2 linked regions of the Nothobranchius furzeri genome follow. The protein of the gene in region 1 purifies or fractionates together with the protein of each later gene. This does not show direct contact. Links are inferred from orthologs where the notes say so. Each region holds a gene or a part of one and is shown in the gene's direction. Other genes may lie near its edges.

Region 1 (3,919 bases):
TAGTACTGAGAAAGCCCGGTCCCCACGGGTACGACACCTAGACCGAGGGACAGCGAGCAGGCCTTGGTCAGAGGAGCGCAGAGCGCGTGATGGGGAATGTCTGTTCAGGAGTGTGGCCAGATAGGGGGGAGCACCACCCTGGAAGAAATGATAAACAAAGACGAGTATTTTGAACTGTGAGCGATAGGAAATCGGAAGCCAGTGCAGGGAGGCCAGAACTGGACTGATGTGGTCCCGTTTCCTGGTCCCAGTCAGGAACCTGGCAGCGCTGTTCTGCACAACCTGTAGGCGACGCAGTGTTGACTGACACAACCCTGCGAAGAGAGAGCTGCAGTAGTCAAGACGAGAAATTACAAAGGCATGCAGTACCCGCTCCAGGTGGGCTCTCGACAGCATATGCTTGATTTTAGCAAGGCGTCTCAGGTGAAAGAAACTGGACCGGATCACAGAATTGATGTGAGCATCAAATTTAAGTCCTACATCAAGTTTCACCCCCAAACTGGTAACAGCTGAATGGATAAAACAACAAGTTATACACATGTAATATTTATACATCTGATACAATTCAGATCACCTTCAAAACTCAGTCACACACCCAGGGCCGTTTCAAGGCATTTTGGGGGCCAAGGCAAAATGACCCCCCCCCCCCCCCCATAACTGGGCTCCCCAGAAGCCTCTGTGTAATCCATACCCTCTCCAGGAGTATTAGTTATACAGTGTTTACAAAAAACCCTCAGACATTACTGACATGTTCTAATATTATCAGATGAAAAACTAAATTATCAGACATGCTGTCTCATCTGCTTCTTTTCTAACTTACAAAAAGTAACAAAACCATTTGAAAGCCACTATTTGTGGATTCTCTGAAAGTTTCCATGGAGTGTGTGACAACTTATTTTTTCATTGATCCTATCGTCTAATCTCACAGCTGAAACAAGCATCCTTAATAATCTGTGCACAGGAAGCTTACCGATGCTGTAGTAAAACAAAAGGTATAATAATTTATTATTAATAAAACCTTGTTGCAGCACTAAAGCAGAAAAATGAGATTTTGTAATAAATATGCAAAATATTTACATATGAATTGTTTTAGAGCCCTTTTATTGGCAGAATCTGATATTAATTTAGTTCTTACAAAACATGGGTCCCAACATGGTTTGTGTGGCGTTGCCATAGTGTGACGTCATAGGCACAGATCCCCTGTCCTCTTGTGTGGAAATGGAAATATGATCACCCTATGTTAAACAAACTGTCCACCCGGGCTTTTGCGCTGCACAGAGACGCTTCGCTGCCTATGACTGAACGTCAGTTGAGAGTCAGTCTCATGCAGACTGATCAATGAAGAGAGGGCCTCAAGTTAAGACCCTCTCCTCATTGGTCAGTCCACACGAGGTGGGTCAAAGGTTACCCTGAGCAGGTTACATGATGTCAGGCATTCAAGTATTGAGTATACTTACTGCATATTACAGAAAAATATTTTGTATGTGACCACATTATGGTGATCCTTGGGTCGTGATGATGGAGCCCTTGAATATTGTTGCCCAGGGTACAACGAAGTGTTAATCTGGCCCTGGTCCTAGTGCGCGTGCGTGTGTTCTCTCGCAGCTGGAGGTGGGTTCTGCAGCAGCTGTGGGTTTACAACGTGCGCGCGCGTCGGGTGGGGTGGGGGGTGAAGAATCGGCGCTAGGACCGCGGTTCCGTCAGTGCGCTGATCCCAGCAGAGAGGCAGATCTCCGGCTGAAGAAGAGCTGCTCTCTGGCTGTCTGTCTGCTCTGCGGTCCGACTCATCACCTCTCGCCGCGTACCGGACCAGAACCAGCCGGGCTCGCCTCCGGTGGCCTCCTTATGGGCTCACCATGCGCAGGATTCGGGCCAACGCCATCGCCATTCTGACAGTCGCGTGGATCTTGGGAACGTTTTATTACCTGTGGCAGGACCAGAAGCCCCAGTCTGTTCCGTCGGTGGCGGCGCAGACCCGCGTCCGGAACCACGGACAGAAGGGGGTCCCCGGTCGGCTGGAGATCCACCGAGACGAGCGGACCATCCCGCTGATTGTGAGTGAGCGGTTCGGTGGTTCTGTGGCTGGAGGCTGGAGCGTGCGTGCGTGTGTGTGCGTGCGGTGCACGCCTGTGTGCATGAAACTTGGACTGATGGTGCAGCTCAGCTGGATGTCACAGCCAGATCACATCCTCCCGAACCCGAACCGGAGAAGTTACCCTCCAGGAGCGCAAGTGGATAAAACAAAGGGTTCGGGTCGGGATCCTTAGGCCCATCTCAGTCTGCCGAACAGAAACATTCAGACAGAACCCCAGCTGAGATTAGAAGATCCGGTCGAACAGAAGGAGATAAAAGCTTCCTAACAGTTATTTGGGCTCATTTAGGGGGTTATAAGTCATAAATCTGTGTCCACTTCTAGCTCCTCCTAACATGGATCTGTTTATTATCAGCAGCTTTTCCTATATGCTAAATCATGAATACAAATATAATCAGATAAATGTATATTTAGCTAACCAGTGGATTCCCATAGCTGTGAGGTTGACCTCTGACCCTTGAGCTGACCTGTGCTTTGGTTCCCTGCTGTATTATTTAGATGTTTGCTATGATTGGCTGTTATTTAATCCCATTCCTGCTGTCTTTAACAACAGATCTAAAGTCGTAAATGTGGGTTTGGATCCCTTATTCATGTTCCTGTCTGGGTTCTGACATTTAGATCCTCCTAACAGTGGGACTTTAATTATTAGGAGGAACTTTTTTTGTATTTAGATTCGGTTATGTTGATGTAAAGAGTTGTTATGTTTTGTAATCTGCCCTCCATAGTTAGATTTTCACACAGTAGAAGATGAATAATCTCAGTCTGAGCTGTGGTCGGGCCCCTGCAGGGTTCCAGGGTTCCTGACCGTCCCCTCCTGTATGACATGACTGAGTGACTGTGATTGGATAAATCAGATCTGGACCTAGTTTGACTTTCGGAGACGTCCACAGGCTGAACACTGTTAAACAGGCACTCCTGCGGCGTGTTTTGTAATAGTGGGTTTGTCCGCGGGATCATTGACCCCTCACCCAGCTGAGATGTCCTCGTTGTTTGTTTTGGTGGACTGACCCGATGCCTGCTGGATATATGGACACCACATCCTTGTGCTGACCCGTTCCTCCTCCTTCTTCCCTCCATCCATGACTTTCTTTTCCTCCCCTGAGGTTTCATCAGCTCAGTGTGTTTCTGTCAGTCCTTCTGTTTGTTTTCCTTACCTCCGTCTCTTCCTGGATCTGAGCCCTCGTCTGTGGATCTCCTCCATCTCTCTGCCCTACACTCATTAGCTACAGTGAGGACATCATCTGTTACTGCTGGTTCCACATCGCTCCTCCATTTTTCTTCTAATTCCTCAGCACTGTGTCTAACTTCACAGGAACACATGAGAACTTTTTCAAATTCCTTTTCCCGAACTCTGATCTAACCACGTTGCAAACAAATGACTTCAGCCCACCTCCGTGCTTCTTATCAACAAACCCGTCACCGTGTAACATTTATTCTCTGATCAGTCGCTGCGTGGACCCCGATCAGGCTGCTGGGTTTTGTGCTTTTGTTGGTTTTTAGGGTTGGATAAGACCACGTTAGGACTTGACAAGAGGACCTGGATCACATCTGCTGATGATGATCATGTTTGGGAACTTTTACTCAGAAAAAACGTGTGACAAAACCCATTAGAGGGAAGAAGTTTAACATAAACTTGGTTTAATCTGAAAACAACAAAAATAATTTGAATTTTAGAAGTTAAATAATTGAAATAACATTTCTATTTAAAGTAAAGCATTAAATTAGAAACATGATACTTGAGTATACGTAGTTTCTGAGCCAGGTGTAAGTCAGCAATTCTACATTTTCTCTATGAGGAAAGGTTGTTTCATAATCTTACCAACAATC
Region 2 (3,919 bases), on another chromosome or scaffold:
AAACAGACAGGACAGAAAAATAGTCAAATAAAAACAAGTTAGTTTTTGTACCTGGTGGTTGCAACAAACAGACACCATTGAAGGTAATCAGAAGTGAGGAACAGAAAATGAAATAATTATTTTAATGTTTAGAGCAGCAGGAACTCTGAGAGGCTGCAGGCGCATCAGTGAGTTTGCGGCCGCTGCGCAGGGGGAGGGGGGAGAGGGCTGAAGCAGAAACTACCGTTATTAAAAGAGATGTGTTTAACTTTGAAAATGTGGGCGCAATTTTATTGGTCGAAAACTCCAGCGAACCAACCGACCCTCCCCATTTCCATTTCAAAAGCGAGCACATGTGTGTGTGTGTGTGTGTGTGTGTGTGTGTGTGTGTGTGTGTGTGTGTGTGTTTGTGTGTGTGTGTGTAACCATCTACACAACTAAGTGAGGACCAAAACAAGCTTTTTACCAGCAAACTAAGGACATCTTGCTGGTTCTCACTATGGGACAATGCCACATAGCTCTACTGGTTAGTTTTAGAGGTATGATGTGAATGAAGTTCAAGTCAGGGTTAGGGTTAAGAGTAGACTGGCTATGGCTAGAGGTAGGGTTAGTCACAATACAGTCACTAAAATGAATGGAAGTCAATGGTGGTCCTTGCAACAAATGCTAGACTAGAGTGTTTGTGTGTGTGTGTCAGGGGCAGCAGTAGCTCAGGAGTTAGGGCGTGTTGTCTGGGAATTGGAAGGTTGTAGGTTCGATCCCGGCTTCCGGCAGAGAATGCAAATCTAACCGTCCTTGCCTGTTGGTGGTGGTCAGACCGGTGGCGCCTGTATTCGGCAGACCTCACCTCTGTCAGTGCACCCCAGGGCAGCTGTGGCTACATTGTAGCTCATCATTACCAGTGTGTGAATGTGTGGATGACAGATTGTGTTGTGAAGCACGTTGGGGGTTGTAGAACCCTAGAAGGCGCTATAAAAATACAGGCCATTTATTATTATTATTGCTATTATTATTATTATTATTATTATTATTGTTATTATTATTGTTGTTGTTATTACCCTTTTATGGGTATTATGTGTATTTTATCTCAGATCTTTGATGTGTTTTTTCATTGAAAATTCAAATATATGGGTTATTTTCTTGTCAGATTTTGTGGCTTTATGAATTTTGTCATTTCATGTATGTAAATACTTTGCACATGTACACAAAGTTTATTTATGAATAATCTTTTAGTATGCTACTATTCAATGGTATTGTTGCATTTTTCAGTAAATATGTTGTTACTTTTCTTTAGTAAGTCTTAGCTGCTAATTCTATATTTGATTTCATAAAATAAAACAAAAACAAAAGATTGTATTTTATCTTCTAAAGAAATACATTTTTATTTTATCTGTCAAAGTCCTTCACCACGTGAAAATACACAACCAATGAGCAGCCAGTGGGGGCGGGTTTTAACTTGTCACAGCTACGTGTCTCAGAAAACAGGAAGTAAATAAAGAAGAGTCACGGAAGCCGCTGGTGAGTGAGTAGACCTGACTTTTATGTCCAGAAAACTACCAATAACTTACACAAAGAGCTACTTTTATGACAGCCGAATGAAGGCAAGTTGTTTCATCATGTTAATAATAGCGGTTAAGTCGTGAATGGCAGAACTGTGAAGTCAGTCGGCCGCCTCTCATCTTTCTCTGCTACTTGTTAACTGGAGTTCGTTTGCATGTCATTAATTGTCGGACTTTTGTCGGTTTATTCGTTGATTTCACGCTGATGCGTTCACGAGCACACGGTGAAGAGACGCACGGAGCGTACCGGGAGACCAGTCAGACCTGTGCTGTTAATGGTGTCAGCTGTCATTCATTTCTAATTCAGCCGCACATGAATGAGTCTGAGCAGCACTTTCATCACCGTTGTCCAGACTGACTTAGCATGGCTTTATCAATGTTCAGGTCAAGAATGAAAGCAGCTTATTCCGTTATTAGAGTAACTTTTATAGCTGCTGCTTTTGTTTGCATTTTAGTTTTTTCTCCTTTATTTAATATTTAAAAAGTCTCCTAGCAAAATGTCTTCTTGGGTATTTTTGTGGTTGCTGCAGCAGGAATCTTTTATAATAGGACTGTGAATTCCCTGCCTTGTCCTCTTCTGTTCCACATTTATGATTTAATCTGCTTCGTCTCATCTTTGCATGACAACAGCACACAGCACATCACTGGCATATATCAGCTTGTAAGCCAAGATGCTTGTATTTATTTACTAAACAGTTTTCTCTGGTTTGATTAAAATATCTTAAACTGCTTATGTGGTAAAATGAACTCTAATAATCTAAAGGTGACCTTGGATCTTTTCGCTTTGTCATGCTGGTTTGGATCATTTGAAAATAGATTTGATCATCTGCTAAATCTTTAGACATTGAAATAAGATAGAAAGGTAATTGTTCCTGCAGCCGGCATACACCAGTGGACCTATAAAGCTGTGAGTCAGCCTGTTGGGTTTGGTCACAGAGATGTAAATAAAGAAATCCAGGATATTTGGACCAGAGCAAACAGGACTCGGTGAATATTTGCCTCATACTGAAACAAACTATGGGTGTGTTCCCTAAGCTGTAATCTTTTGGTTTAGAGGAGTCAAGTGACTAAACAAGTAATCAGAGAACAGGTCGGATCGACTCACTCCTTGTCACTATTGATGATTTTTCAAACAGATGCTGATTAAATGCTGAATTTTTGTTGCAGTTAAACTCGTCCTAAGTACCAGTGCCTAGATGGGGAAGATATTTGCTTGTATGTTTGTTTAAGAGCATTAAAACTGATATTTGAGATGTTTAACCCTCCCACTGTCCTAATGGGTCTGACCCCGTGAGGAAAGTTGACCATGGACCACGTTGGGTCCATGTGGCAGGAGTGAGCACCACCTCATCCCTGCCACATGGACCTCAATCCTGCTCAATGGTCAACTTTCCTTGCGGGGTCACCCATAAAGACAGTGGGGGGGAGGGTTAAAGGTGGGTTTCTGTGGAAACGGTAACATCTCACCTGTTGTTGTTTGCGATGGGTTAACTGGGGTTAATTGTCACAATGGTTAATCCATGCAACTCTAACTGTGAGTCCATCGTTGTTCCACCAGTCCACAGGATTTGTTTCTAGCCCAACGTGGCTGTTGCTATGAACGTTTTAAACCCCAACGCCCATGCTATTCGTGACGGACGCAAAATAGCTGTCACCGAGCAGGACTGCCAATGTGGAGACTGAGCTGTCTCCTGGCCTCAGTTTCCGTTTGGATCCTTCTCCCTGTTTTGCCAGGCTATGAAATGAAAATGATAGTTAGCTCTGTTGCTAACATCTCCTGTGTAGAGAAATAGAGTGATGTAACGATCTAGAGTTGTATTTTAATATACTGTAAGTAGATCTAGTTTTTATAATCAGAAGAATAGGTTGTTTTTATCATCAGGGAGTTCATTTAACACTCTGTATTGACCTTGAGACAAGAAAAGAGAGAGTTGGGCTCGTTTAAGAATTTTATTATAAATTCTACAATCTATCAGGACTAACTCTGTGTTGTTTGGAAATGAATGTGATGTTCGATGTGTGTGTGTGTGTGTGTGTGTGTGTGTGTGTGTGTGTGTGTGTGTGTGTGTGTGTGTGTGTGTGTGTGTGTGTGTGTGTGTGTGTGTGTGTGTGTGTGTGTGTGTGTGTGTGTGTGTGTGTGTGTGTGGTTGGTTCAGACTCCTTAGGCTGACGTCATTGAATCTGGTAGTCTTTGATTGCTATGACTAGATATCACGAGGCTTATAAAGTGATGACATGAGCTGCTATTTTGCCGTGTACATACCCAGTGGGGGCCTCCCAGGTAGATCAGGAAATGCCAGGTCTGGAGACCTCGGATGTGCGCTGGAGCTGGTCGAAACGGCGATCGCAGCGTTTCAAAGCCCGTCTGAAGGGTCGACCCA

What was found.
Region 2: the proteins of galnt16 (region 1) and zinc transporter ZIP11 purify together in Homo sapiens (co-immunoprecipitation; 3 studies listed by BioGRID and IntAct, counting the BioPlex papers as one, with this or other methods). This does not show direct contact. The link is inferred for Nothobranchius furzeri from reciprocal best matches to the Homo sapiens genes GALNT16 and SLC39A11.

Annotation. Positions count from the first base shown.
Region 1 is NC_091758.1:16,994,529-16,998,447, reverse strand, and holds the start of galnt16 (polypeptide N-acetylgalactosaminyltransferase 16), read left to right. Parts: upstream 1-1,643; 5' UTR 1,644-1,856; coding exon 1,857-2,054; intron 2,055-2,060; exon of another isoform or gene 2,061-3,919. UniProt on the Homo sapiens protein: Catalyzes the initial reaction in O-linked oligosaccharide biosynthesis, the transfer of an N-acetyl-D-galactosamine residue to a serine or threonine residue on the protein receptor.
Region 2 is NC_091756.1:23,976,437-23,980,355, reverse strand, and holds the start of zinc transporter ZIP11, read left to right. Parts: upstream 1-1,437; 5' UTR 1,438-1,497; exon of another isoform or gene 1,498-1,580; intron 1,581-3,919. UniProt on the Homo sapiens protein: Zinc importer that regulates cytosolic zinc concentrations either via zinc influx from the extracellular compartment or efflux from intracellular organelles such as Golgi apparatus. May transport copper ions as well.